4 linked regions of the Struthio camelus genome follow. The protein of the gene in region 1 interacts with the protein of each later gene in a pairwise test. Links are inferred from orthologs where the notes say so. Each region holds a gene or a part of one and is shown on either strand. Other genes may lie near its edges.

Evidence for each region.
Region 2: the proteins of GOPC (region 1) and MYOCD interact in binary tests that used the Homo sapiens proteins (3 or more experiments, as listed by UniProt). The two-hybrid records come from large-scale screens. The link is inferred for Struthio camelus from reciprocal best matches to the Homo sapiens genes GOPC and MYOCD.
Region 3: the proteins of GOPC (region 1) and FOSL2 interact in a two-hybrid assay, tested with the Homo sapiens proteins (2 studies listed by BioGRID and IntAct). The two-hybrid records come from large-scale screens. The link is inferred for Struthio camelus from reciprocal best matches to the Homo sapiens genes GOPC and FOSL2.
Region 4: the proteins of GOPC (region 1) and VTN interact in binary tests that used the Homo sapiens proteins (3 or more experiments, as listed by UniProt). The two-hybrid records come from large-scale screens. The link is inferred for Struthio camelus from reciprocal best matches to the Homo sapiens genes GOPC and VTN.

Annotation. Positions count from the first base shown.
Region 1 is NC_090944.1:64,707,591-64,714,690, reverse strand, and holds the start of GOPC (Golgi-associated PDZ and coiled-coil motif-containing protein), read left to right. Parts: upstream 1-4,100; coding exon 4,101-4,394; intron 4,395-7,100.
Region 2 is NC_090960.1:14,175,111-14,182,431, forward strand, and holds the start of MYOCD (myocardin), read left to right. Parts: upstream 1-4,319; 5' UTR 4,320-4,797; intron 4,798-7,321. UniProt on the Homo sapiens protein: Smooth muscle cells (SM) and cardiac muscle cells-specific transcriptional factor which uses the canonical single or multiple CArG boxes DNA sequence. Acts as a cofactor of serum response factor (SRF) with the potential to modulate SRF-target genes.
Region 3 is NC_090944.1:107,909,207-107,917,060, forward strand, and holds the start of FOSL2 (fos-related antigen 2), read left to right. Parts: upstream 1-4,844; 5' UTR 4,845-5,462; coding exon 5,463-5,561; intron 5,562-5,849; exon of another isoform or gene 5,850-7,854.
Region 4 is NC_090957.1:16,421,319-16,429,032, reverse strand, and holds the start of VTN (vitronectin), read left to right. Parts: upstream 1-4,713; 5' UTR 4,714-4,983; intron 4,984-6,796; 5' UTR 6,797-6,884; coding exon 6,885-6,945; intron 6,946-7,475; coding exon 7,476-7,595; intron 7,596-7,714. Other genes in the region: NAD(+) hydrolase SARM1, read right to left, coding at 3,505-3,959. UniProt on the Homo sapiens protein: Vitronectin is a cell adhesion and spreading factor found in serum and tissues. Vitronectin interact with glycosaminoglycans and proteoglycans. Is recognized by certain members of the integrin family and serves as a cell-to-substrate adhesion molecule.

The sequences.
Region 1 (7,100 bases):
TAACTCCTTTTTTAGGGTATGAAATTCTTGCTGTATCATCTCAAATTGTCTTCCGCATTGGTACTGCAAAATATTCTTTGTTTTCTCTTACGTTTTGTTTCTGGTATCTCGCGCCCTGACTGTACAACCACCCACACCGTCAAACCATTCAAGCTGTTTCCACAGCGCTAACCACACAGAAGATGGCCTTGATAATGTGTGCACGCTGCAGCTTGGCATGCACAGCTGGGTGGCTGCAATTACAGAAGTTTCTAGGTGAACTGACCTTCATGTGCAAACACATGTGTTTAGATTGTACATTCTTTGTACAATCTAAACACATGTGCTCTTTGTGCAGAGGCTAGCTCTAACCAAGGGCTTGCAGAACATCTCACGCAGCAGTTTCCCAGTCTTAGCATGGGCACTAGGTACTAAATATGTAGCAGTGGAAATGTTGATCAGAGTAGTGTTTTTTTTCTTTTGATTCAGGTATTACATTGCTTTGCTTTGTATGAAAACGTGTACTCCCCTTATCATCATTTACTGTTTGAGCGCACAGTAAGTTTTCAGAGAATTTATTAGGTACTCCAGTGATTAGTGAAAGTATGTAAGTTTAAATGTATAAAATACTGTTTCTACTCAAAGGTACTTAACAGCAGAGTAACCCAGACACTTTGCATTCTGTACACTCTATCTTATTTGAATAATTGAAATGATGTGCATAAATTATTTGTGAAGAAATTAGCTTGTGATTAACCTAGCTCTGCTGTAAGATAGGGCCAGATCAGCAGATCAGGAAACTTTAAGTGAGGTCCTTTTGACATTAAAGGTATTGAACCAATTTAAATTTTTCTTAGCACATATTTTGCTGCAACTGTTTGACTGTTAGAAATATCTCTTAGGCATAGTAGAACTAGACCCACATATCAAGAATTCTTACTGGTAGGTTACTTGACTCAAACTATCACATGTTGTTGATGTTATCAGGGTAGAATATCCTACAGTTTATTTAAAATCAATTTAATCGAATTGAGGGTCCAAACTACTAACTTTTCTGAGGTTCACTTCCATAATTACTGCATGATTTGCCTACAGAACAGAGTTAAGGTTGTCTGGCTACTTTTGGCAGGCATTTTAAGGGTAACTGGAATCGCTCAGAATTTTTTAGGGGTCCTGCAACTATAGTTTTAAGATAATTAAAATACTCATGTTTTTACCCTTATATCCCTGACATATATTCTTAATGTTAACCGCCTTTTTACAAAGAATTTCTGTTGAGGAATACTCAGCTATACTACACAGTGGTACCCTACGTTTCCGTAGACTTGGTGTCACAGCTTTCTTAAAAAAAAAGTTCCTTAAAGTTCCTTTTCATTTATCCATAGTCCAGCAAGTGTTAGACAACTATTACTCTGGAGGCAGGCTTAGAAAGCAATTGTATTTGAGAAGCTAATCTCTGAGTGAAAGAAGTAAAGACAAAACCTTGTTTGACCTGTGAAATGTAAGGACATGCAAAACAAATGTAGCACTGACAAGGGACGAATGAGTTAAAATTAACGACCAGAAAAATCTGGTACCGCTGTAGATAAATACAATTTAAGATAGAGTTGGACCAACCCCTACGCTAGAGGGAAAGGACACTCTAAAAAGCTGAGAATGCGTGATTCTTATAAAGAGACAATTACATCAAGTATATGCTTTTAAAAGTAGTACTTGCTATAGATACGCTACATAGTAACTATGGGAAACTTTATCAAGATAAGCATATAATGTTTAAAAGTGTGACTGAGATACATTAACAGAAAATGCTAATACTTAGGTAAGTGATAGATTATTGTTCCATTTTAAAAGGCAGAGAATGGAATTTTATCCTCTAGATATTTCTCCAGTATGATATCTACCAGAATCAAAGCCAAAACTAACAAATAAAACTGATAATCCTGAAACAAGCTGTATATTATCATGTGGCTGAACTAATTTAAAACAATAATGACAACAATGATAGTTTAGGTTTGGATACAGCAAACTCTTTGATTGTCTATTGTGAATTAACTGTGACACAGTCAATATGATATGCTTTGTGGAGAATGAACATTTGAATGAAGGTCAAACAAATGCTCTGTTAAACTTGGCTCGTGCAAAAGTACTTGGGTGCCTATGTCTAGAGTTTAAACACTTAAACGCTTTGCTGAGCTATTATTCTGAATATCCAAATTTACTGAGCCAGTAGATTTCTTTGTATAGGTATATATTTAAAGGTATTGGTAGCTTTTCTGCTGTCATGGATGGGTTTAATAGGAAGAGAACCCCAGTTAGGTTCTCAGTTCGTTACAACCTATCTCAATTTGCTGACAATTTGAACAGTAAATGGCAAATGAGCAGGTCTGTAATAACGATCTGTAAGCTTCTTGTCAAAGCTATGATATCAGATCCCAGAGGAAATGTGTTACGTACTGCTGGTGTAGAGTTTGCTTTCATCTAGCTTTTCTGAAAGCACAGATTGATGGAAGTACAGTTCTGTCTTGCTTAAACATCTCTCTTCACGTTCCAGGTGAGTGGCCGAACCACTGAGCTGTTCATTCGTTCTGTGTCCCAATCAATTATTTATGCAAAGTGGAGCAACAGAAAGAAACTCGCCCCAGGATAACTTACAGCCCAGGGAGTGGGGCACGCAGGGGACATGCCATGATCATTTTCTGTGCATGACTACACAGTCAGGGTAGTTCCACTCCACTGCTGACTGGAGGACCCCCGAGTTGTGCTAGCAGAGCAGCCTGTGGGGCCGTGCTGGAGGCAGGATTAGAGTGCTGATCTGGGTTAAAACTACCCTTTTTCTCTTCTGAAGTGCAATTACTATTTTTACTCTGATGCAATGAAGTAAAGCTGCGTGAGATCTCTACAAAAGCTACTAACAATGGTCTCACTGAAATCCATATCAGAATGGGGGGGGAAATGAATATATTTTCAGTAATTGTACCAATATTCCAGCGACATCCGTCTCCTGAACCATTTTTTCAAATGGAAAGCGTGAGAAGGCTCGCTTTCCTAACCAGGAGAAAGATACGCATTTGACTGGATAGGGCGGACGGAGCGAGCAGCGCCCTATCCCAGGTCTGAAAGCGTTGTTCAGAGACAGCCGCCGCTGGCGGCCGAGAGATGGCAGCCTGGGAGCACCGCTGCCCTCCTAACCGCTCCCACGGCGACGGCGACGGCGACGGCGAAGGCGGGCGCGGCCGTTAGGGGCGTGGCCCGCCGTCGGCTGCCCTGGGCGCGGCCGTTAGGGGCGTGGCCCGCCGTCGGCTGCCCCGGGCGCGGCCGTTAGGGGCGTGGCCCGCCGTCGGCTGCCCCAGGCCGTGCCGCCAGCGTGCGCCTGGCCGCGTGAGGGCGGTGTGCCGGCACGGGCGGGGCTCGTGGCAAGGCGCCCGCTGCCCGGGCGCGTTTGCGGCGCTGGGCGCAGCATGACAGCTGCCTGGGGGCTCCCCAAAGCTCGGGGTGCTGGGCGGTGCCGGGGAGGGACGTGACAGGGGTTTGGGGGCTGCCGGAGAAAGGGCGGCTTGAGAACGGCTGCGGGGATCCGGGGACAGGCGAAACTCGCGTGCGAGGACGCCCGTACGGAGGGAGGGGGACCGCCGACACCGAAAAAGGCGCCTCTGGAAAGACGGGGAAGGGCTCCGAGGCGGCAGGCGGCGCGCCCGCCTGGCGGCCGGGGGCGAGCTGCGCAGAGCGGCGCCCCCTCGTGGCGCAGCACGGGAAGAGACGTCGCGGCCGAGATCGGGGATTTGGGGCTCGGCCGTTGCTGCCTGCCGCAGCTTGGCCTTGTGGCAGGCAGCACGAGCCGCTCGCAGCTCGCCGCCGGGCGGCCGAGCGCGCCGCCTCGGAGGCCGCCTGTCAGCAGCGGCGCGCATGCGCGCGCGGCGCATTCCTTTCGCTTCCTTGCGTGGCTGCCCGCGGTGGAGCCGGGCTGGGGCCGCTGCTGCTGCCACCGCCACCACCGCGTTGTCCTGCGCGGCGGGAGCGGAGACGGGCGCGGAGCGGGGCGGCGGGGGGAGGCGCCGCGCGGGCGCTGAGGGGCGGCAGCCCTGCCTCGCGGGCGCGGGGGGCCGCGGGGAGGGGGCGGCAGCATGTCGGCCGCGGGGGGCGGCTCCTGCGGGCCGGGCGCCGGGGCCTGCGGCGGGGGCGCGGGCGGCGCTGCCTCGCCGCCGGGCGGCGGCGTGTCCATGTTCCGCTGGCTGGAAGTGCTGGAGAAGGAGTTCGACAAGGCCTTCGTGGATGTGGACCTGCTGCTGGGCGAGATCGACCCCGACCAGGCCGACATCACTTACGAGGGGCGGCAGAAAATGACCAGCCTCAGCTCCTGCTTCGCCCAGCTCTGCCACAAGGCGCAGACCGTGTCCCAGATCAACCACAAGCTGGAGGTGAGGGGGGCTTGAGGCCCTCCGGGGGCGGCGGGCCTGTGGGGAGGGAGAGGTGGGCGCCACGGGGTTTGTGCCGTCGGGCTCGCGGTGGTGGCGGCGTGCCCTGCGCTGAGGTGTTGGGGTGGGCGAGGAGGGACTGGGAGGGATGTCCCGCCCGCTGCTGAGGGCCTGCGAGGAGATGCGAGCGGCTGCGAGAACCCTTCCTGCGCCTTGTGGCGGCTGGGTGCCAGGGCAGCGGCAGCTGGGGAAGGTTAACCCAGCTCTGAGAGGCTCTGTGCTGTCCCACAGGACTCGGGCCTGGCGTGCTGATCCTCTGGGTTTGATTATTACAGTATGAGCGTGAAGCAGTGCAAGCCAAAAAAGAGTTCTCTGAAGTTGAAAGCAGCAGCTTTTGTCTCTTGAGCAACAGATGCCTTTGGCTGGTCTTACATTTGCATCAGGTCCCTGGTGAATTCAGTAAGCTCTTTCAAGATGAGAAAAAGACGTATTACCAAGAGACTTAAAGCTTATAGTCAGTGGTCAAAATGAGAGTGTTATTCCAGCCTACAAGTAAATGAAACTGACAATGACTTATGGATGGATTTAACAGGTCCTCTTGTTCCTCCATGCTCCAAGGCAGATCAGATAGCTCCCTGCCTGACTTGGTCTCATAAAATTAGTAGTAGACATTGCACATTCTGTGAAGAAAATAATGCCTAGCTGTCTTTACTGTCAGAAAGTTTTCTTCATGTCTAATTGAGAACTTCAGTAAAGGTGGGAAGAGAGAAGCATCTGGTGGAGCCACGCTGGCTGGTGCTGATGCTGCTCAGGAGGAGGGGCTGCACGTCCTGTTACTTGCACAAGAGCTGGAGGACTGTGGAAAGAGATTCTGGGGAAACAGGGCGTCTCTGACTGCCAGAATGTTCTTTTACAACTGAATCATCTTTCTTTTAGTAGGTGTTGTCATTTGTCTTGTTCCAGACAGATATGGATAGCAACTGCCCTTCTTTCTGTTACATATTAGAAGATTGTTGATATGTCTTCCTTCACTTTTTCTTTGGGCTGAAAACCCCAATTTCTTTAATATCTCTTGTAGGCTGTGCTTTTTAGGGTTCTCTTGTTTCTTCTAGTAACTTCGGAATATACAGGAGGAACGGGAAAAACTTCTCAGAAGCTATGAAGATATGTCCTTTGTAAGAGCTTCAGTAGGCAAATAAACCATAGACTTCAGTTCTTTTAAACCTCCCTATTATATTTATTGTAATAAAGGAATTTAAGAGTCCTCAAACCATAACCTGCACTTCTGCAGTACTTTACTGAAGGAAGTGAAGTCAGTAAATTGGCTTTGGTTTTAATATGGTTCCTTCCTGATATGAAGGCACTGTTATGCAAAATTGTATTCGTAGAGTTTAGCCGAGAATTAAGATATTTCAGAGTAGAATAGAGACCCCCACAGACAAAGAGCTTTGTTCATTGCAGTCTTTATTTCACCAGACACTTACTGTAGTGGTGTTTGCAGTACTCTTTGTTTTTTGTTTTGCTTTATTGTCATACACGTTTTTAGTACTGGGTTTGTACTCTCAAGCTGTATGTGAGCTTAATTGTATAGGTGTAGTAAATTAAGATTTATGAGTTTATAGTAGGCAATCAGTATTTATTGCACCCACCGTGGGCACGGTGGGTGTTGTGCACAGACTTGTAAAACATATGAGTTTTAAGATTATTTTAAGAGAATGAGTGACGCATGGCAAATAGGTCTTTTAAAAGTTCTTTCAAGCTTAAATATTTTGAAAGGAAACAACAAAACTCAGATCCTGAAAGATATTTTGTTATCTAATTAAAATTGTCAGGGGCTAGGCACCTAATAACTGAAGGTCTGTGCCTCAGTCGTGAACGAGCTGAAGAGCAAAGGAGCACAGTTAGAACTTTCAGTAGCATCATGAGTGTATGTGTCTAAGTGTGAGAAATAATTCAGTGATAACAATGGTTTTGAGAATCTGGAGTGGGCACTTCAGAAGTGAGGCAAAAACCTTTTATTTTGTGAAATAGTTTTAATACTTGTTTTAGGCCTTATACATATACAGGAGTTTTTGTCATTTAGATAGACCTTTAGAAGGTATTGCCTTGCAGTATTGTCTTGAAGGCTGTTAATTTTATGACCTCATCATTATTAGACCCTTAAACTTGGAGTGAGAACTGCCATTTAAAATCTATAAAAGAACTGCTCTGTTGAGAACGAGTGTCTTTTTACATGCACAGGTGTCTAATCAGAAGCCTCTGGGTCCAGATTGAAGGATACAGTTACCAATTTTTGAAGAACTCATCAGGATTAATACTGGAATTTAAGATATGATAAGTGGATTTATGTTTTTTAAAATGCAAAGTGCTGTATCTCATACAATATTTCAAATTATAGTCATTTCTTAATAGCTCACAATAGTAATTTTACAGTGCTTGTACACTTTAATATGAAGTTTTCATTATGCTGGTGAAGTGTCATGAGCCATAGTTTACTTAGGTAACAAACATTTATTCAAGCCAATACATTAAATCTATCTTCAGAAATATGCCTTTTATTTGGATCAAAGTAATACTTTGACTTCAGTGTGCCAGTGACTGTTAGAAGCTAAGGCTTTATTCTGGCAGTTACTTTTTGCATACCATTGCCTTATTGAGAGTATGATATTATTTTGCAAAGGGAAATCAGTGTAATAGTAAAAAATTAGT
Region 2 (7,321 bases), on another chromosome or scaffold:
CCAACAGAGTGAGGCAGACCCAGTTGCCATCCCTGTCAGAGCAGCACAGCAGCACCGGCTCCTGCACGTGTCGGAAAGCCCCAGAGCATTTCCCCAGGCAGCCACCCCGGCACAGTGTGGCCAGGGCTGATCCCAGCCAGCTGTGGGGCCTGCCCGGCCTGGAGATGTTTATTTGGGGAAGGCTGTAGCCGTTCATCTCGGCATCGCTGCATGCAGCCCACCACTAAGATCTGCACTGGCAGTTCTCGCTGACCTGCCCCTCCTGCCATGGAAACAGAGGGAACGGGGCCAGACTCCAGACAGGATGAACTCCTCCAGCTGTGTCTGGGAACCCGCAGCTCATATTTCACTCTGCTCCCAGATCTCCCACTCGGGTGACACCAAACGCGTGTCACACAAGCTGGAGGCGAGGGCTTATGGCCCCCCTGCTGCCAGCACAGTCTCAGCCCCTGAGCCTCCACCCTCTCTGCCCTCTGTCTCCCCATGGTGCAGCTTGGAGCCAGTGCTTCATCCCAGCTGACAGAGACTCTGTGCAGGCTCTGAGGTCCCCCGGTACCCTCTCGTCCAGAGATGGCTGCACAGTCTCCAGCACCAGACCCATCCCTTCCCAGCTCTGCTACAGGTTAAATGGCTAAAATAAGTAGTTTGAATACACCACCTGCGTAGTGCTGAGAGGCTGAAACTGGATGGAAAACCAGCCTGGCCTACCAGCCCCTAGAAGGTCAGGGGCTTCTCCCAGGCTTTGCCACATATGGATCACAGATGCCCCAGGCTGCAACCAAGCCACCCGCTTGCCCCGCTGCTGTGGCTCACAGAGGTTTGCAATGCCAACAGGCAGATGGGGAGGGCAGCTGTGCTGCATGGGCAGTGAATGATCCCAAGCGTCTTTCAGATTGCATTGCTGGGGCCAGGAGAGGCAACCCAAGCCTTCTTTCAGCAGCGTGGCAGCTCTGACCAGCTGAACTGCTCTGTGCCCTGAACCAGCTCGTCACTGCAGGCTGCATGGCCCAGACGCCAGACCTGAACCTCTGTTGTGGAGTGCTGTCAGCACGCCATGCTGATAAGATAAACTGAACATGTATGGAACGGACAAGGAAAGGAAATTCCACCTCCGGCGTGATCGTGTTATCCAGCCTCCTGCTGACTCTGCCTGACCCCATCACAGAGCCAGCATTCAGGCATCCCTGTAAAAACTTTCTGTGAAATGGATCCATAGCCCTTCTGTCTTGCAAAAGCCTCAGGAGAGCCACACTGCCTATATTCATGTGGATGCCCCCAGGCCTGGGCACTGGCAGAAGGGAGGATCTTGCAACCCCACACTCAGGAGCAGGTCACCAGAGCTCTTGGCAGCTTTCACCACATGAGAGCAATGGGACTAAGTGCCACTGAAGTGCAGTGTCCTGGGGGTCCTGCTCTGTCAGGCTGCAGGAAAAGGGATGAGAAGACCAGTATGGCCAGGCCTCTGTGCAGGTTTGCTGTGAGAGCTGGGCCGTCCTCCTGGACTGAACTGGCAGCTCACACAGCAGCATCTCGCAGGAAAGGTGCTCCTTCTGCTTCCCCCTCATCCTGGCCTAGCTCCCAGAACTAGGGTGGGATTTAGATGTTGATATACTATTAATAGATTTCTCCCAGGCAAAGGGACTAGATGTGATATGAAATTAACTTCTACGGGGACCATCATGTCAGTGAGATTATTGTGGTAGGCCCTTTCCGGTCTCCAGCTTAGTCCCCTCCTAGGTCAAGAGCTGCCAAATGAAGCAGGCCTGTGCCACAGAGACCTTGGACTGCCAAAGAGCAGGAAGGGCTCCATTTATAAGCTGCCAGATAAACAAACCTGGTGGGAGACCAGGATTTATGGAAGAGCTGGAGAAGGGCTGGGGGGGAGGGGTGAGGGGCGATCTTTCTGCTACATTTGCCCTGCCAACAACTTCTGCACAGACTAAAGAGACATGTTTGTTAGTAAGAACAGTAGGTTCACAGCCGGGTGAGTTTATGGCAAGCAGGATATAAATAAATAGAAGAAAAAGGACTTTCCCCACAAGGAAGCGTCGTTCTGCCCGCCTTGGAAAGGCTGCCCTTAGGCTTGATGCCAGTCAGAAGAGGGCTCTCTTCTCGCCAGAAATAAGGCCATATTGATTGCTTTCATCAAGGAAATGACTTGCTGATGTCCAAAAACAGAAAATTGAGGGTTTTTTGGAAGCCTAAATGTTTGGGTGGTGGGACTGCAGCCACCACCATCCCCAGAGCCCATCACAGCCCTGAAGAGTGGCACATGCAGGGCACATGTGGGTGAATGGGGGTTGCTGCCATTCTGCTTTTTATTGATGAGGAGGAAGGATCAGAGAGAGAAGGCATAGGACAGAGTCAGAAGCGCTAGCAGTATGGACAAAAAACCTAAAAGAGCTTTGAGGCGCAATGTTAACGGGGAAAGGAGTTGAAGCCTGAGCAAAGACACTGCCTTTTGTCTGACTTCTTCTATGTTCAGAAAACACAATTTTGCACAGGCAAGAAGTATTGCATCTGAGGAGACCCTGTCTCCACCCAGGTTCTCTTCCTAACAGTGATAAACTGCAAACCTGCAGACTTCAGCCAAGGCCTGAGATCAAAAGGGGAAGCATTCATGTAAGGGATATTAAAGCATTATATATGTGCTGCATTGGCACGGCTCTGCACAGGATAGGCTTAGGCTGGCATAAACCCAGAAAAGGAGTTGTATAGGTCATGAAGTGACACAACTAGGGCACTGAAGTGTGGAAGAAGTCAGAGAGCATTCAGCAGCGCTTCACTCTTTACTCCCAAAGATCAAGGACTAAGGCTGGAGAAATCAAGTACTCAAGTACTTTGGGACCTGCTGTGCCGGTCCCACAGTAAGGATGATACAGTGAACATGCTGAAGAGCAGCTCCATTCCCAAGGTGAGGCCATAGCCCTGGGACATAGGGGAACAGGCTCACATGCACCCCCTTCTCCTCGATTCGTGGCCCAGTGGTGCTCCCCAAAACTGCCTTTTGGTACCCCTTGACCATAGTTGGGTGCTTCTGAGCGTGAGGGTCTGTATGGACATGGGGCTGTGGTGTCTCACACTGGCCCAGGGCAACGACAGATATATCCCAAAAAAAGGAAAAGAGGGACTTACCTTGGCCTGTTCAGGGCACAGGACCCCTCTTGTCAAGAGAGTTCTTGGTGCACAGTCATGCCTCTGTCTATCATGCATCTGTGCCCAGGGTTTTACACTGAATATGCGGCATGCCTGCTTGGTTATCAGCCTCCAAGCAGAGAGCTCACTGCTCTGACTTTACCTCTTTCTCAAGAGCCCAAACACCCTACTCCCGAAATGCCAGGCTTCAGTCATAAACCTCCCTATTGCTTTGTTTTCCAAGCGGATAGAGCACTAGGTGCCCCAGCCAGGCCAGGTACTGTGACTTAGGACAAGAGCTGAAGATTTTCCAGCAGCAAATCCCAGCGCATCAGAACCTGGGCAGTTCACCGTGAAAAGGGGACTAGTTTCTCTGGTCAGCCAGGCTGGCCTTGCTAGGCAAATGGGAATGCACCGAGGACTGGGACATAAAGCACGTCCAAGTCAGGCAGGCACTGACACACAACTTGTTACCTGCTAGTTGGATTCCCTACCCAGCTCCTTACTATGTGGGGTAAGGCTTTTCCAACTGCACCTGCTTCCACATATGAATACTAACGTACTTAATGGGCTGCTAAGAGAGGGAAGGTTGTCGTTCTTGCAGGAAGAGGGAAAAACACAGCAAAACCAAGGCACCACATTCGAGTCTGTGCTCTGTCGCAGTCTGCTTTAAAGCAGTTTGCAAAGATGTGGGGGTCTCAGGCTCTGCATTGCACATAACTGAAGCCAAACTCTCTGGGAATAGCTATGGGAATTTCACGGGAGAAAACGGGCAAGTTTGCAGCAGATGAGAACAGGGAGCTGTCTCTAAAAGTGTCCCACACAACCCCAGAGACTTTTGCGTTTCACCAGTGAGCTCAGGTTGCTCTTTCAAAAAAGGTGAATGGTGACCTCTGGAGCTTTCCTACTTCGAGGCGGAGAGAGAGACCACTTGGGATATTAAATCAAGGATTAAAAGGCAGGTGAAGGAGGAGGCAGCACAAGGCAGAGCAGAAAGTCTGCTCTGGAGGGACGCACGCATCTGAAAGGAAGGCTGCAGCTACTGCTGTTATCTGAGCCCTGGCAGAGGAGGCTCCTCCTCTTCCTTAACTCTTGCAGAGTCAGGGAGTGAAGCCTGTGGTCCTGGGCTGCAGCTCGGGGCTGCCTGGTTTGCTGCGCACTGGGTGGGGGGAGCACTTCATGCAGGGGAGCCCCAGGGCTGTGTGTTGACGGAGGACCACAGCCTTGCACTGCCGGCAGGGCTGCGAGGTGGGAGACCACCCTCACCAGCGCCTAGGCTCTGCTCACTCCTCGCGCATTTGGATGCTCTCCCTGCCCCTCACCTTGGGCCATAGCTCGGCAAGGTGAAAGACTCCCAACCAGCCCCCTGCCACAGCCCACCGCAGCCAAGAACGCATGCCTGACAAGCCCCTGGCCTTCTTTCCTCTGCACTGCGGGCTGCAAGAAGTTAATTTATTTTTGGAAAAGCAGCTCTCAGAGTTTGTCTAATTCCATCCGCACCAGCTCCTTTCACTCTATTTTAAACCAGTTCTTACTGTGCTTCAAGTTTATAAAAACAATCACTGCTCCCTGATAAAAGCAGCCCTAATCCTCGGAGAAAGCAAGGAGTCACAAAAGCAGCATCTCCTCCAGGAAACTCTAGCTCAGCTGAAAAGTTCACAGGTAATTTACATTTCGTACTTAACATCTTTCTGTTCTTGTAACTGCTTTCTCACATGCGTGTTTAGCTATATAGACACATGGCACTTATATAGGTGGCATCCGGTTCTCTAGGGAGATGGAGCGCAGTTAGGCATTATTGTTACCTGCTACTTCTTTTGGGTTATTGGCAGGGGCCTTGGTGACCAGGGCACCTGGCAAGTCTTGGACTACGCGCGGACCTACATGGATCGTCCTGCTTGTTTGGGACAGAGTACAAGGTGCATTTTGCGAGTCAGGAGCTGGCCCGCCTGGAGTTCCAGGCAGAGAAATGTGGAAGGATTCAGTAGCTGGCTTTGCAAAGGAAAGATGATGGTGTAGGGCCAAGTGAGGTCTTCCCAAAGGCCAGGCTCTTGCTTTGGTACAGCCATTTAAAGGCTGCTCTGAAGGTTATTCTAATCCTGCGACCTCACCCTGCTCTAGACATTATCCCTCCCTGTGGGTCAGTCTGTGTGATGGCACCCTGCTTTTGTCCCTTTTATTCCTGGATTGATAGGAGGATAGTGCCACAGCTCTGTTAACTGTGGAGGGTCATTCTGATTACGCAGAACACTCAGCTGTTTAATGCAATTTCTCCATGACTCACCAAAGCATCCCACTGAAACTGTTTAGAAAAGCTCCCAGCATCGCTCACGCTCAGAAATCCAGGGCATTTACGGACCACTTTGTTTCTTTTAAATAAATGCATTGCAAAATGTTGCCTGACATAAACTACTGATCTCATTTGTTGAGCACTAAAGCTCTCAAAGAAGGCTTTGTCTTCCTTGTGCTGTGGTTGCTGGAGTTTCAGGGTTAATGCCTTCAAAAGCCCCGCCTTGGCAGCAGTGAAACAGTTACATTTCCAGGACAGTGAAACTGTGCAGGGAGAGGGAATAGGACTGCGAGTGCATTGCCAGGACAGGGCTTTGCTGATTCTCTCCTTTCCCCGCAGATTGCACGACCCAGCCCTGTGCGCTTCCTCTCTCTGATCATCAGCGTGGTCTTCAGGGCACTTACATGCGTCTGGGAAAAGAGGTGTAGCTTTGGGTTTTGGTACTGTGTGCTATAACTGCTGCTTTCCTAAAATCCATCCAGGAGCTGGTCAGCTTTCCCCACTGCCTTTTGATAAAACATGCATCGTTTCAGCTCTGAGTGGAAAAAAAAAAAAAAAAAAAAAAGGCAGGAAAATGAAAGTTCTTTTTTAGGACTGAACAAGGTGGTTTCTTCTGTAAATGTCACTTGTCAGGTGACCTGAGAGACAAGCAAAAGCTTTTGGATCTAAGGACCACACATCCCTATCTCTCCTGCTGCTCTGTCCATGTGTTTTGGTGGTCCAGTTTGCAGAGAAAGGGTAATGTGGTTGCTCTGTGGTGTATGCAGGCTAAAAATAGTTTCCTTCTCGTGCTTCATCTGAATGGGCAGCCACATATGACTGTACATGGATTTGTCTGATAGTCCCGTTTCAGTGTAAGAGACAAAATATCTTAGTTATGGCTTTGTTCTTCAGCTAACAATGGGTAGCTAAAAATATCTGACTTTGTTCCACTCAATAAAGTTCTCTCAAGGGGAGACACTAACGTTACATTTTTGCCAGATTCATGCAAAATGCAGCCAAAAAAAATTCACATTTTTGCCAACAACTTTTCATAAAACGTAACTAGCAAAAAAACTTCACACTGTTCTGCGAGTGGGGCTTTGCTCTCTGCTGTGCAACAGCATCCTCAGGCTCGTGGCTGCCCGCTCCCTGGAGGCATTCAAGGAGGGCAAAGCCTGGCTACGGAAGAGCCGCCTCCTCCTCTTCCTCCTTTTCTCACCCTCCCGGCTGGATTGCTCAGCTCCCTTCGGTGAGGGCCCGCACGCTGCCAAGCCTGCTGCTTTCACGTGGGCCAGTGCAGTCAGGCTCAGCGGGTAGGCGGCTAAGTGCCATGACAGTGGTGAGGCAGGGCGTCGCTGCCTGCTCGTGCCTGGCTGGGGGAGAGTGCCCGAACGCTGCTAGTGGCAGCTGTTTGGTGGTCGCTGTGGTCTCACTCCAATTCCTGTATTTCCCTCTTTGTGGCAGTCAGGCCTGGAGGCCAGCCAAGCCGGCCTGGTCCCACTGTGCAAGCAGTGTGTGTGCAATAAAAGCCTGGCACGGCCTGCTTCAAAGTGCTCACAGTCTGACAGCCAAGAGGAAACTAGCAGAGACCTCACTGGGCTGGCACAGGCTCCACAGAAAGGAATATGATGGGCCCTCCCATGCTCGCCCCCATCTCCAGCTAAAATCTCTGCCTCCCCACCGCTTCCACCCTGTCCCCAGTGCCTTCCCTCTAGCTGCCATGCTGCACCATTGGTAACTGTGCCCAGGCAATAGGTCAGTCAGGAAAGCAGGAGGCCAGGGTAGAAGGGCAGGGATGCCGGCAGAGGGGGATGTGCACAGTTAATGATAAATCGCGGCAAAGGCAGCAGCTTTGGAAGCTGCCTGGCCAAGTGATCCCATCCGTTATGCCCACAGGGGGCCGTGCTGGTCAGC
Region 3 (7,854 bases), about 43 Mb from region 1:
AGCGTTCAGCGCTGCTAGCGCTGCAGCATCATTTTGCCGCTGCCCCGTGCTGCCTGGCCCCAGAGGACCGCAGCCTCCACCCTTGCCTGGCCTCCCCAGCTCCTGGCCTGTCCTGCCCCACGCTGCAGGTGCTGAAGGCAGCGGGGAGGAAGCATTTCACCTTTTTCCCTAGGGAAAATGCCAAAAGAGCAAAGCTGCCATATGTGTGAAGCTAGCAGGAGAAAATGGGCGTGAAGGAAGATGAGGGAAAGGTTTCACCAAAGAAAGGGCTCCCAGGAGCTTTTGGGAGAAAGGGGCTCGGACTGGTGGGGCGTTGCTTTAGGCTGCAGCCCCCACCACAGGATTAAGGCCTTCAAGGCCATGCCGCAGGCCCCCACTTGGACCGATTTGGCTGGGGCACAGGGAACTAACGCTGGGAGAGAGACTCCTGTCCTCACCCCCAGCTTCACTGAACCTTTGTGCAAACGGCTCAATAGCATCATAGTATCTGGCTTTATCCTGGGGCTTTTATTGGCATGGGGATTGTGAAAGAGTTAAAGGAGAGCCGATCGCCAGGCTGCAGGAAGAGCGGCAGGATTAGTCTCATCGAGGCGAAGGGGCTGTAGGGCAGCAGTTGCCCCGCTGGGAAGGTGGGCCTGGCCCAGCTGGGCGCACTCGCACACACGCAGCATCTCACGGCAGTCACCTGAGAGCAATTCAAAGGCGTGACTCACTGCTGCAAAGATAAGGCGCCCGGCTGGGTCCGGGCCCTGTGTACACAGTTAGGCCTTCCTAAAACAACAGGATTATCAACAGCAGAAAAGCCTCTGTGATCTGACAGTGCACGCTTGGGAAAAGCACTCTACTTGGTGAAAGGTGTTTGCCAAACTATGTCCAGAAACACTTTGAAGCAGAAAACCTCCGTTCTCTCTTGGATACGCTGGAGTACTTAATAAATAACTGTAATTAAGTGTGAGGTGGTAGCTTAAGAGTTTGTTCCCAGAAGTTAACATCAAAACACTTGCTCTTAGCACTTACAGAAACAATATGAAAGCAAACTTCTTGCACAGATGAAAGTACAGTTGTTGGGAAGCACTGAAGAGCCCTGGAAACATGCTGATTCTTCAGTGGAGGAGAAGGTCTTGGGAAGGGACAAAGTTGCTTATACAGTAAAAATGCAATTTAATGAATGGTAATAGCTATAGTGCCCGTTGGGACGGGGAAGTCAGTTTTAAAACAGGACACAAGGAACCATACGGGAAAAAAGGTTTGTACCCTTTCTTGGGCTCTTCTGCAGCTTCCCGTACCCCACCAGTGCCAAGCTGTCGTACTCCTGCTCCTCAGGGACGTGAGGACTCCCCGGGGCGCCCTCACTCCCCTGCCCAGCCTGGAGGCTGCCTCAGGTCACCAGGGCTTCGGCTGGCCCAGCCCACGGTGCAGGCAGCCACAGCGCTGCTAAGCTTTTGCTCACGGCTTGCAGTTCACGTTTAAGACGAGATAATTACTGCAGGTTTCTTCGTAGGTTGAGTGTGAACGATTTTGAAGGAGAGGTGCAAGGAGAAAGAGGAACGTCACTGTAATTCTCCCTTTTGATCTCAAATCAATTGTCGCGCCTTTAAGAAGGTGGCACAGTGTGATCGATACAGCAGGGCCTGGAAAGGGAGTCCGAGAGCAGGAAGTATAAATCCCAGGCTCTGCCACGCGCTTGCAAAGAGCTAAGTCTAAGGTGCTACCACGTACCCTTAACCCTCGCTCCTGCAAGCGCGCTGTGGAAAGCACTCCCGGGTCTTGGTTTCAGTCTCCTAATTGCTACAGAAACGCAGGAGCACAGGCAGCCACAGTCTCCTTTGCCTTAGAGTGATCCTCTCCCGCCCTGGAACCTGGGTTGGTCTTAATTTGTCTGTGGTTCAGGCAAGAACAGACTAGGCAGACACACATGTTATCTCTTGTTTTTTTGGAAGCAGGGAGCTTATTGCACAATGAAGCTCGGTCTGTACGTGGATTAAAAATGCATGTGTCTGGGGCACTGGGAGCCAGGCTGGCCTGTGTTATTTGAATCCAAAAAAACCCACAAAAACAACAACAACAACAAAAAAGTACTACAAAGGGCTGATACCAGAATGAAAAGCCTCCACAGGGCTGCTTACTTTTCCCGACTTTTCTTGTTCCCTTTTGCATGCGTGGCTCTCTCTTAGCGAGAGAGTTTATGCTCTCAGGCCAGAAGCAACGCTACCAAAGTCAATGTAAATATACTGTAAAACTTGCCTACTTCAACACTGCATCCGAGGGCTGTGGGGCAGGTGCTTGCGGAGGATAAGGTGGTGCGGATCCAGCCGTAGAAGTTCACTGACTGACACTAAGTGAGGGTTTGGCCTCAGGTGTGCTTTCAACTTCCTACACTTCTTACAGGGCTTTTAACTTGACGATTTACAAGTGTCAACTAATTGCATCCACATTAACTGAAGCCGAATATTAAAACAGCACTTAAACGTCGTTTCAAGTGAGTTGTTCCCAGACAAGGTCTAATGCAAATTTGGCAGGACGTGGTAGATGTGCCAAAATCATGTTGGAATAATGTTTGAAAACAACACTCAAAATGTTGTGCTGGAGCTGAAACATGAGGAAAGCAGGTATTTTAGGTTTAATGATGAACAGGAAAAAAAATATATATAGAAACAATTCTAGGAGTATGAGCAAGAAAGCTGGTCTCTACTAGCAAAATGCCCTAATACTAAAGCTACAGCATCTTTTCTCCTCACATCCTTCCCCCCTTTTTTCTGGCTGTCTTTCTGAACCAATTACTTTTGCATTCCTCAGTGCACAGTAGCTTCATTTCTACAAGACTACCAGCTTGATTTAAAACATGAAGAAACCCAAGGTTTATTATCCCCAATTAGAGCAGTGGTTCATGTAATCCAGTAGATACTGGGGCCGCCAGTAGCCGGTACCTGAGGAGAACTGGAGGCAGAAGAGCTGTCCAAGAGAGGTGACTAGCCAAAAATAAAACCTTTTGTTAAGGCTATTTTTATTACAATGTGTGTTTTTCTGCCTCTGTTCGTCCCTTAACGACTGCAGGCTAATTCCTCTCACATCTTGAACTAATTCTCTTCCCAGCAGAATCAAGCATGTGCAGATCATCTGTTTGACGTACAATCAAAGGAGAAAACAACGTCACAATCGCACAGTGCCTATTAAAGTAACTCACCCCCTCCCCAGCTCCTCGCTGCTAATGCAATGCAAATTGGAAGCACTGGTTTATTTTTATAGCCCTGGCCCCACCTCCTCCCAAGTTAGACGCCGCACAAAATAGGCCAGCTAATTTGGATCAAGCATTTCAATTGCCTGGAAAATGAAGGTGCTGAAAACCAAACAGCATCAGCAGGAGTTTTACTCCCAAACGCCTGGCTTGCCAGGTGCTAAAGACGTCTCACTGACATGCTGCTTCTTTTCAGACTTCCCCCAAAGTGCTGGAGTTCTCATCGGTGCTGCCTTTTCCTTCCCTAGGATGATAGCAGGGGTACAGGAACACCCATTACTCTCCGATGAGCTGCTGTGGGAGAATACTTTCTCCATGAGACAACTTAAATGGGACTTTATAGCTTGAAGTTAGATGATTTCTCCTTCCCTAACAGCAGGAAAGACGCTCTAAGTGCTGGATGAATCCTCTAGGGAAGATGGAAAATAAACATTTCACTTTTAATAGCAGCATTTTAATAATCGGTAAACGCACACAACTGCTGTATTTGCTGTGGCTCACCAAAAGTCCCTGTTCTTGGTGAGGACAGACCTGCCGCGTGTGCTCCTGCCACCTCCCAGCCTGGGCCAGGCGTTGACCTCCTAACGCAACACGCTTGAAATGGGTTGTCACAGCCCCTGCCCTTGAGCTTCTGCCATAAATCAGATGCCTCGATTCGTTACCTACCGCTACCGTGACATACTGCGGTTTGGATGCCCGGAGCGGCTCTGCAGCCGGCTCCTAGCAGGATGGAGGGATGCGCTAAAACAGAAACAGGAAGAAAAAATGGAAAAAAAAAAAAAAAGTGGTAAAAACGACTGTACACCCAGCCCAGCGCAAGCCGGGGCAGCGGACACGCACCGCACCGCGCCCGCCCCGGGCCCCGCACGGAGCCCCCGGCCGCCGCCCCGCACCAGGGCAACCCGGCGGGGGGGGGGGGGGGGGACACGCTGGACCCCGCGGCGCGGCTTGGCCCGCGGGCAGCGCGCTTTTTATTATCGTTATTTGTCATTATCGCTATTGTTACTTTCCCCCTTACCGCTTGCTCGGGCCCTCGGCGGCTGCTCCCTCGGAGCTTCCACCCCCCTCCTCCGGGGACCACCTCCACGACCACCTCCACCTCCGGCCCGGCCGGAGCGGCCTGGACCCCCCCCCCCCCCCCAAAACCCCCCGCGGCCGGGCGGCGGTCTCGAACCCGCGGCGGACGCAGCGGCGCCGTTCCCCTTTAAATCCAGCCGGAGCGGCGGCCGGCGGAGCAGGGAATCCCTATCGGAACACGTCATCCTCGGCAAGGAAACCCACACTCGCGTAGAGCGACGCAAATGACCATTTTTGGCAACGTGCGACAATGGAAGGGACCAAGCGGAGGGGCGGTGCGGGGGGGAGGAGGAGGAGGAGGAGGAGGGCGGCCGGGAGCGGGGCGGCGCCTGCCGGGAACCCGCCGGGCGCCGCCGCCGCGCGGAGCGCGGGGCCGCCGGGCGCCGCGGGGCTGCGGGGGCGGCGGCGGAGCGGAGCGGGGCGGGGCGGGGGGCGGGGCGGTCCCCCCTCCCCCCCCCGCGGCGGCGGCGGCGGCGGCAGGTGGGAGCGTCCGCGCTGGCGAGGTGGGGCCGGTGAGCCGGGGGTTTGACGTGTGCAAGTGCACATGGTGCGGCGGCGGCAGCGGCGGCGGCGGGGCCGGGCCGGATAATAAGCGCGCGGGGTTGACGCGGTGCCATTGCTCTGAGTCACCGCGGCCGCGCGGAGCGGAGCGGCGCGAGGCGCGGGCGCGGAGCTGGGCTGCGCTGCGCCGCGCCGCGCCACTTTTTGTAAAAGGGCAGCCGGGAGCCGCTGCGCCGCCGCGTCCCGCGCTCCGCGCCGCGGCAGGCGCGCAGGGGAGCGCAAAGGTGCGCGCGTGTGAGTGCGGGCGCGGGAGCGTGCGTGTGCGCGCCTCGGCTCCCCGCCGCGCCCCCCGCCGCCCTCCGCGCGCCGGGCAGCCCCTTGCCCGCCGCGGGGTTTCGCGGAGCCTTTTTCGCATCGCCGGAGCTTTTTAAAAAAAATTTATTTTTTTTTCCTTTTTCCGCCCAAAGTCCTTTTTTTTTTTTTTTCTCCCCCCCGCCCCCCCCCCTCCCCGGCGGAGCCCTGGGAAGGCGAGCGAGCGGGCGGAAAATAAAAGATCGGGCGGGAGAAGGGGGCGGGGAGACGGCGAGGGAGCGAGCGGGTGTCGGTGCGGGAAGGCGGGCGGCCCGTCTCCCCGGCCCCGCCGCGGACCATGTACCAGGACTACCCCGGCAGCTTCGACACCTCCTCCAGAGGCAGCAGCGGCTCCCCGGGACACCCCGACACCTACCCCAGCGGCGCCGCGCAGCAGGTAGGGCCGGGCAAGCCCCTTCGGGCCGCGAGTTTGGCGGAGTTTTCCGCTGGTTTCGGTGCGTGCTGGGCGGGGGGTTGGGGAGGGATGAGGAGGGGGAGCGGGGGGGGCGTGCGGTGCGCGGACGGCGCCGTCCCGCCGCGCGTGGGGCTCTGCCGGCGGGCGCGGGGCTGCCGGAGCCGCCCGTCCCGGCGGGGCAAGGCGGCGGCGCTGGGGCAGGGCTGCCCTGGAAATCAGAGCGCTCCCCGCAGCCGAGTCCTCTCCGGGGATACTAGTGGAAATACATACGCGGAGCTTATTCCTCCGTCCTCTTCGTCCTGCTTCTGTTCGCTTAGGTAGCTGCTGCTTCATTTTTTGTTTCTTCCTCCTTTCATCGTCGTTTTCCAGGTAGTCTGGCACTTTCAAATGAGCTGGCTCGCAGCAGTTTGGGCGTCTTCGCTGTAGAGTGGCTTTGAGAGGGGTTGTGTGATTTCAAGACGCTGTTGCGACCACCTTAAAACATACGCGGGCACCCCTTAAGCAGCCTTTATTTAATCTTTTAAGGCGTCTAAAGGGGTCTCCCTGCTTTCTGCCCCTGCCCCCAAACTTTCTGTCTGTGGTGGTGAACCAGTCTTTGCATTTCCCGTCAGTGAGACCTTCTAAACACTTACAGTGTGATAGTTTGCTTTTTCCTGCTGCCCAGACACTCCTTGGATTGCCGAGAGTTGCTGGCTGGTGTTGAGCTGTTGATCAGTTTTCCTGTTCTTTTGACCTTCCGAAAGCAAGTTTTTTTTTTTGAGACTTACATGATCTAGTTACACTCTGGGATAATACTTCTTTCCTCTTGCGAGCTTCTGGTCTTGAGTAATAAATGGAACTTGAAGAATGGAAGATATTTCCTGTTGAAACTGCATGAATTCATGGACCTAAAAGACTAGTAATTTTTTTTAACAAGCCTTTTCATTTTTTCTAAGAAAACATCTTAAAACAGCTTATATGCCTACACAGACTAAATCCTCCACTTCTGTGGAAGGCATTACACAATCGGGCCAGTTATACAAACCTAGGTTATTTCATAACTTGTTTACATCAGCTGGCCTATCCTCACTCTCTTTTTCAGAGTTGTACTCTTCCCCCCCCCCCCCATATTATTATTTCTTGTGTGGCTTGTATGGGTGAACTGGCAGAGTGAGCACATTTCTGTCTTCACATCAAGAAGTCATAGGATCATGTTAAAAAAAAAAAAAAGTCAAGAAAAAAAAAAAAAGTCCAGCATTAAACTTTGCCAACCGTACCAGCCCGTGACATTCCTCACATTAAAGAAGTTTTACCAGAAATGACTCTCCGCATTTCCCAGCCTGCTCCAAACGCATCTCGTTGGTGCCCTCTGTGGGCTGTGCTGAGGATGAAGATTTCCAGGGATTGTAGTTTGGAACCAGATTCTTCACTGTTCTACAGTAAATGCCGGGACAAGGTTGGGGGAGCAGGGGGGTGTCTGAGAAACTGAAAATACCTGACAAGGTGCAAATCCTTTGGTCTCTGTTTCCCTCTGGGGTTCACTAGATGCACTAGATTGAGGCACTTGTTTCAAGAGGTTGTGAAACTCTAGCCACGCTTAGCATTTGAGGTACTGAGATCTGCACGAAAGGGGCTGAAACTACTTTTCCCCCTTTTATATTTCTGGTGCTGTGTGGCTTCCCCAGGCAGCTCGCATGTGTAGCGTTTGATATGGGTGCCAGAAAGTAGTTTCTAAGGTTACTATCTTAATGGGGCTTTGAGCAGGACGCTGGCTTAGCAAGAACAGAAATGTTTTCTTTAAGAATCTGGGAGATTTCTCAAGGCCCTGTGCGTTGTCTTTCCCTTGATCCTTGCAGATGTTATAGATTAGGATCAAATGCAAGCGTTGCCTTTACCCTAGGAACTGGTCTGTTCTGCTGATTCTGGACTGTGGAGATCTGCAGAGTTTTATCGCTAGAGAAAATATGCATTGTAGAAATTTTTCTTCTTCTTTTTTTTTTTTTTTAATTTCCCAAAGCAAGAAAAGATGCATCAGTCACATGTTTAAGTGGAAATTGTGTCTCTGAGCCAAAACTTTGATGCTTTTTAATTATTTTTCCCGTCCAACACAGCGCTGGAACATTTTTCTTTTAAGTTGCGTGTCATGTTATATTCCTAATCATTGACTTGCCATGTGGTAAACATAGACTTTAAAGGGAATTTTGTGCGCTCTCTCAGACCAGTTGACTTTCCCCAGAAATATCCCAGTGCTGTGTCCAGTTTTCCTTCAAGGAGACACTCAACATGGGACAACCGT
Region 4 (7,714 bases), on another chromosome or scaffold:
CAGCCCAGGATCACTGCACCAGGGGCTCCCTTTTGCTCTGCATAAGAGGTGCAAAGCAAGCAACAGCCCAAGGTAAGTTAATGCTGGTCGAGAACTGTATCTGTTTACTCAGCCTTCCAAGGTGTGTGTGAACTACTCTGTGCTTGGGAGTGAACACTTGTTTGTCCCTAACCAGCGTTGTCACCTGGCTGCCTTCCAGTTTGGTACCGAGCGCGGGACAAGGTGCTTCTCGTGGGGCTGAACGACTGCTCCTGAAGTGTGGCAGTCCAGGCCATGATTGAACCTCAGGTCCTGGCTCTGTGCCACAAACAGCAGAGTCCAGCACCTCTACAGCCTTCTTATGACGCAGAGGCAACAGATCACGGCCCTGCCCTGCCACGTGCTCAGTGCGTAGCCATTACATGTCCAGGACATTGCCATTCTGCTGTCCGCTTGGACAGGCGTGACGCCTGCTCTCTGATGAAGACAGGGAAACAGCTTGCATGTGAACAGAGATATCCTGGTTGCACGACTGAAACTGCACATACGCTCTGGCCATGTGGCTGATGTGTGTGTGCGCCCTCTTGGGACTGTGACAACCGTGTTTCGGTCATATCACTGTACCAATGAGGTCAGCGTAACAGGGAGAGACTGCAGGGCCCTTGTGAAAGGAGGCCACGGGTTTGCGAACTGCCAGTAGTGCACGGGTTGCAGTGATCTCCCTGCCCGGTGCTGGGAGACGCAGGACTGGCTGCGGGGACACATGAGAAGCTAGTGGTAAGAAATGGGAACCTGACTGTCCTGCTGAGGACCGCCAGATACTGCTTGCGCGCGGCCGGGCTTGAGAGCCCTGTGCTATGAGGATGGTCTTGGAAAGATGCTTGGAAGAAGGGGGCTGTGCCCTAATGGCCTAGAGCGAGGAGGAGGGTGGAAATGACAGGACTGGGTGCTCAGCTGCACTCCCTCGGGTTGAGGGGACCTGGTGGCTGGGGTGACAGTGAGTGTCAGCTTTGTCTCTGGCCTGAGAAACAAGTGCTCTGGTGCTGTGGTGGATCTGCTCCATCTGCACCGCACGAGTGTTGGTGCAGATAGCTCTTACTGTGTTGCTTGTAAGGCTCAAGCCTGTAAGGCAGTGCTCTATTTCAGCCCCTGGCAGTGGTGGGGTTGAAGGCACACCAGCGTCTCCATACTGGCAGGCAGGAAGGGCATTTCTGGGAAGCCTGTGGCCTGCATGGCTCACGCTGACCTTGGGGTGGATTTGGCAGCAAACGCTGCGGAGAGCTCTGGGAAAAAAGTCCTCACCCTGAGGCTGGCTCCAAGCCCAGGTTCTGCCATGGCATCAGATGACAAACACAGACCCGTCGGGTCCCCAGGGCTGTGGGATGGAGCCGGTCCAGCTCCCGCCTGAGCCCTACTGCTGCAGCACTCGGGCACCAGTAGAGCTCTGTAAGTCGGAGGCTCGGACCCAGGAGCTCGGACCTGTGCCACCCTACCCTCACTCAGAGGTTAGCAGGAGGTTGGGGCAGAAAGCACCGGTGCTGTGGGGAGTAAGAGAAGGCTGGACCGAGGCCCCAGCACCCAACAGCTCTTGGAGCAGAGACAGCAACTCCTGCAGCTGCTTTCTCTTGCCAGGAAGTGATGTGCTGAATTCAGATCATGCCTGTGACGTTTTCTTGGATTAATTCCGCCCTAATGGACTTTCCTGGTTTAGCTCTTTGCCTCTCTGGGCCTCACTGAACGCAGTGGCAGGCAAAGGCTGTGCGCCCACCACAAGCCCAACGTGGTGCCCATCAGTCTGTGTGCTAAGCAATGTCCAGAGACAACCCGACCCTCTTAACAGCTCCCCTGCCCCAAAGCTCAGCATACCCCAGCTCTGCCTCAGAGCGCAGCTCCGGGAATGGGACTTTGGTAAATGTTTCCTAACCCCACTGATACCTGCAGACTTGCAGGTGTTCCTCTTCTTTACCAGGCAGCTCTGCATACCCACACCAGTGCCGTCTGGTGTGAGCCCACCCCTGCTGTGAGATCCCCGTGGACTTCACGGCTGCCACAGCAGGAGGTCCAGGGCAATGTCCCTTCCAGCTAATATGCACCTTCTCGAACAGCCCGAAGCCCTGGCCGAGGACGGAATAGGGCGATGCAGATGCCTTCACACAGAGCACAGCAGCGGGAGCTGTGCACTGAAAGGCAGAGGGGACCTGTCCTGGAAAATAAGGCAGAGCAGCCAGCGGGTCGAAAGCCTGCGGAGGGGATGGGGATGGAAACTCCCCAGCACGGAGGCCCTCGTGGTAAGACGCGCTGCACATGAAGCTGGAGCAAGATTGTGAACTTTGGCCAGGCTTCCTCAACGTGCTGCCGAATGCCTGGCTTGGAGCAGGCTGGGCTTGGACACGCTGCCACGGCTGCTGCCTCGCCCCGAGGACTGGAGCCACAGGAGCTATCTGTCAGCAGGGCGTTAGGAAAAAGAAGGAGCAATGGCCCCTGGGACAGGGAGAAAGCAGTGGCAGCGATGCAGGGCTCTGTCAGCAGGAGGGCACCTGTGAGTGGAGCCAAGGGCTGAGCCCATTTAAAGCTGTTCTGGGGCTGTCATCTGCAGGGCGGACAGCAGCGCTGGGCTGGAGCGCCTGCTGCGCTGCCTAAGTCCAGGGCCTGGAGCGAGCTGCCGCCCGAGCCGGTGACCCAAGGCTCCTCTGTGGTCACCAACAGAAATGGTGTCACAGGGACAGCACAGAGAGCCCAGACGTAAAAGCTGCAGCAAAAAGGGACAAGTGGTGGAGCTCCTCCCAAGGCCGTACCTGGCCACGGGCATGCCCGCGCCAGCCCTGTTCAGCTTGATCAGGCTGGGCAGGGTGCTCCCCGCTCGCTCGCGGCGTATGGACGCAGAGGGGCACTGGCCGAGCGGCAGCGAAGGGGGAGCGGCGGAGCTCCTGGGCATGGGCCCCGTGGGCCGTGCCCAGCTGAGGGCCGGCTCCTTCAGCTGGTGCTGCCCTGCCCCTGCTCGGGGCTGCCAGCCCCCGGCACGGCGTGGTGCGGCCCCCCGCCCAGTGTGAAGCAGTGCAGAGGCCGCTGCCTTCTAGACCCGCTTGGAGTAGATGGGGGTCTTGTCTCTAAGCAGGAGTCGGGCACGTTTGCCTGCACAAACCCCGGTGTAGAAAGATCTGAGGCAGGTGCAGCTCATGTCAGGTGCATGGCTTCTCCCTGGGGTCTAGCTGTGTCGGGAGCCTCCATGTGAGTGCTGTGTGCCGTGGTTTGGGGTGGAGGGTGTTCGAGGTCCTGTGAGCAGCCAGAGGAGGGGAATTGGGGGGATGTTGGTGGGGTGCATGGAGGAAATTGCTGCTGTGCATGGGCGGGGGGGGCGTACATGCAGGGGCAGGGTCTGCACGCATGGAGCGATGTGGAGGGGAAGGTTGCTGCTAGAGGAGGGGGTCTATCTAGGGTGGGAGCCGTGTCTGGGGCGCACGCTACGCCGGGGCCAGCTCCGGGGAGGGCATGCTGGGCGCTGGGCTGGGCTCTTTGCAGACTCACCTGTTTTCTGCCACCAGGATCTGCTCGAGGAGTTTTCCTGCCTGGCACTTGGTCTCCAGCTCCGCTGTGTTCAGCAGGTTCAGCAGCAGGTCCAGGCCACCCTCCAGGCGGATCGCATCGCACAGCGCTTTGGCCACATCCCTCCCCAGCGTGGGCATCCCCCAGGCTTCCTCCACCAGCTGGAAGACCTCTGCAAGGGCCCTCCTCAGCTCCGCTGGGCCAGCCGCCTGCTTGGCGGAGGAGATGGCCAGGTGCAGAGCAGGCAGGATCCGGTCCAGGGCCACCTGCACATCCATGTTCACCCCGGGGGAAACCTCACGGTGCTCCCTGGAGCTCCCCCCACCTGCCCACCAGCCCGGCTGGCTCACGCAGTCCGGCACCACCAGCCTCTCTGTCCCTGACATGGCGAAGAACCGGCACAGTTTATAGACGGAGACGAGCAGGGTGAGCACCATCAGCAGCTGCTAGCACAGCATCCTTGGTCCCCCTCGTGCTGGGAGTGCCCGGGCAGGGCTGCCGTGCTTCTTGGGGAACCGGAGCTGGTCGGAGGAGATGGCAGGGAGGTGGAGGAGGGGGGACGGAGCTGGCCAGGAGTCCAGCCGCTGGGCTGGGACACCGGCTCCCTCTCCCCTCCCTGCCCTGCCAGGATGCGGAGCTGGAAGCAGTGGCAGGAACCGCCTGCCCGGAGCCAGGCTCAGCATCTCCAGTCCCCAGGGACTGATGTCACCCCGTTCAGGCACCGCCTCTCCAAGGAGGGGCTCGCCAGCAGCATCCCCCTCCTCGCCGCAGATGCTCTGGCATCCTCCCAGACCCCTCCTTCCACCGCAGCTCCTGTCACAGCCCTCGGCTTGCCCAGCCTGGGCTCAGGGCCTGCCTGGCGCTCCTCGCCACCCCGTCCCCCCTCACCCAAGCTGCCGGGCAGCCGGCAAGCAGCTCCCCGGCGGGCAGGGGCTCCTATGCTGCCCGCATGGCCAGGCTCTGACCCGAGGGACCACAGGATGAAAACAAAGGGCTGGACCACGGCTGGTTGTGGTTGCACACCGGCAGTCCTGACCCTGCATTTCAAACACATTTTGAATCGGTGCAGTGGGCTGAATAGCTCCCCTTGCCGTGGCATGAATCCTGAGCGGCCTTGCTGGGTGGGCTCAGGATTTGCATTATAAAAGAAAGAGCAGAGGCAGCCTGGGCTGCTTTATTTTTTTCCAGGCCAGACGTGCTCAGGGCAAAAATGTTGTGGACGCTTCTCGCCTGTGTTGGGAGGAGCAGCTCAAATCCTTGGCTCCAAAGCCAGGCTACTGCCAGCTCAGACTAAGGCTTAAATTCAAGTTGATGTTTTGATGCCACAGAGTCTCTTTTAATCCTCTCTCAATCCACATGCAAGGGACAGTCACGGGAAAGCGACATTAGCTCACAGCGAAGGACGGTAAACAAGGCGATCCGAGCGGCATGGTACTGCAGGAGACGCTGAGCACAGAAGCAGTAAGGATTTTGCTGATAAATTGCTATTAACCGGGGGTGACACTGATGCGGGCTGCTGTGATGCAGTGCAGCAGAGGGGTTTGCTACCTCAGAGGAGGGTGTTGTTCAGAGGGGCAGAACTCAGATCATTCCTTTTAGCTTTTCCTCACAAGCTCCTAGAGCTTGTCTTTTCTTTTCAGGATGGATTTTTAGCAACACCAGGCTGGGCTCTGTGTCCGATCTGTGTTCCCAGCCTTGCCCTGGGGAAATCGGCCCGTAGCCTGAGCTCTCTTGGCTGGCTTTGCTCCCCTCAGCAGCAAGGGACCCCCCAGGGCCTGGTTACCCTAACCCTGGTTACCCTAACCAGCCCCTCTCCCAGGGGTCTCGTCCCACAACAGCTTTGAGCGTGGCCGCAGGGAAGGGCTCGCCCGGCGCCCAGGTCTGCGGTTGCTGGTGGCCAGGAGGCTGACGCTGCGGGGGGCAGCTCCGAGGCTTTGTCTCTGCCCATCAGCCAAAGCAGCACAGACGTTGCTGAGCCCCTCTCGTTGCAGCCTCCCTCACCTGCGCAGAGGGGACAGGATCCCCCTCCAGCCCTGCTCGTTCTCCAGCCTTACTTTGCACGAAGCTGTAGTGCAACGCTGGGCTGGTGCTTGCATGCGGGGACGATGCCAGCCCTGACGGAGCAAACAGCAGGGTTACGAGGCTGCAGAAGTCCTGTCCACACAGCCTGCTTCTGGCAGCTGTCCTCAGCTCCCCAAAGCTTTCCTGGCAGGCAAACATACCTTTCTCAATACCAAATCCAAGGTCTTCCAGCAAGATTGGGATCAGCCAATGCCAGGAACTGCCTGTGCCTGACCTGGCAGAGGCAGGGCCCCCGGAAAGGCAGGCAGCGGCACCCGCCAGCCTGCTCAGTTTCTTCTCTCTGCAAATCTCTTGTCACTTATTAAAGCTCAGAGCTGTGACACCGCTGCCCCAGGGCTGGGGAAGACCCCTGCGGCTCTCCTGCCCCAGCAGTGCCGTGGCAGTGCAAACAGCCAGAGCCAGTATCTCTGTAGCCTCAATGTGCATTTGCTCCTTAACCCTGATTACATAACCATCCCGGAGTTATCAGAAACTGCAGAAAGAGCTGAGTTGACATTAATTAGTAACTGAAAAGATTGGCTGGAAAGGGGATAATGGGAGCAAAATACACAGGCTTTTATTTGTCTACTGCAGTGAAAGTGCACAGGACTTGCTTCCCCTCCCTCCAAGCTGTTCACCTCTGGCCCCTGGTACCCATGCACAGAGGTGGCATCTGTCCCATCCTAGGCTGCCACCTCTTGGTACTCCCCAGTACCAGACACTGAGAAAGCAAAAATCTCTACAAAACGGTGATGTTTCAGGCAAGTGTAAGCCCAGGGCCTTTTCTTTTGCCCTTTGAGCTCTGACCATCAGCGGGATCCTTGTCTCTCCCCACTCCCCCTTAGGCTTTTCATCCTGCCTAGACCAGGCTGGGAAATAGCCTCCCACTGAGACGACCGGTTGGGAGCTTTAATACCGTGAGATTTGCTAAGAAAAAATTGTGGCAAGGCCTGAAAAGTGGTTCCTATTTCTGACCTCCTGTCTCCCCCGGCTCTTTGAATGCGTGGCCAGCCTGCGTGCTGGCCGGGAAGGCGCAGACAGCGAAAGCGTGGACCCTGGGCTAGACCGCGCTGCGCAGCCAGGGAGCCTTGTCCCCATCCCACCCAGCCAGCTTGGCCCGGCGCCGCGGAGGAAGGCCGGGGGGGGGGTGCATCTCTGCCCCTTTTTCCCTCTGCTTTGACCTTGGCCTGTTTGTTTTCTCCCGCTGGGGCAGGCTGAGTAAACGGTGGAGGCCGGGGCTCCGGCTCTGCCGCGCTGCAGCCCGCACACTTGCAGGAGGGCTGCGCTCCCGGCCGGCCAGGATGAGGCTGCTCTTCCCTGCCCTCTTGCTGGGCCTGCTCGCCGCGGCCCGTGCTGCTGAAGGTGAGTCTGAGCTCTCGGCCAGACGACCCCGCTCCGGGCGCTTGCCGGCACCGGGTTACAGCGAGGTTGGGGACGGAGCGGACCCGGCTGTTGGGCACTCAGAGTGGCTGGGGGAGCTCAGGCAGGGTGAGGAGGGAGACAGGCAGCATGTGGGAGCCCCAGCCATCCTGCTGTGTGGGGCAAAGCCGAAAGCGGGCAGCACAGTTTGTGGGCGTCAGCGGTGCCTCTGGTGTCTGGGGCGAATCCCCGGCCGGGCTGCGGCTGGGTCGCGGGGAGCCAGCACGCAGCTCGGATCGTGGCACAGCCCCGTCCGTGACTCCCATCCCGCCCCAGGGAGCCAGGGGTGGGGAGCAGGGCGACAAGGGAGCCCCTGGGGCTGGGGGAGGCCGCAGAGAGGTGAGGTGTCCCTCGAGCTGGACTTGATGCTGTTGCCTCTTGCCCCCGGGGCTGGGGAGGGCCGGGGAGGAGAGGTGCTGGCCATGCTGCCTGGCCCACGTTAGTCCTTCCTCGCTGGCTGGTGGCTCTTCCAGACTCCTGCGTGGGCCACTGTGAGGATGGCTTCGATGAGAAGCGGAAGTGCCAGTGCGATACCCTCTGCGTGTACTACCAGAGCTGCTGCAGCGACTACTCCACCGCCTGCAAAGCCAAAGGTACCGGCCCTGCTGGAGCCCTCCGTCCCCAGCTGCCGGCAGCGAGGGGGCCGGCTGGGCAGAGCGGGGACCTGGGGGGACGCAACCCTGGGCTGCTGGTGCAGGGCCAGCTTGGCGCA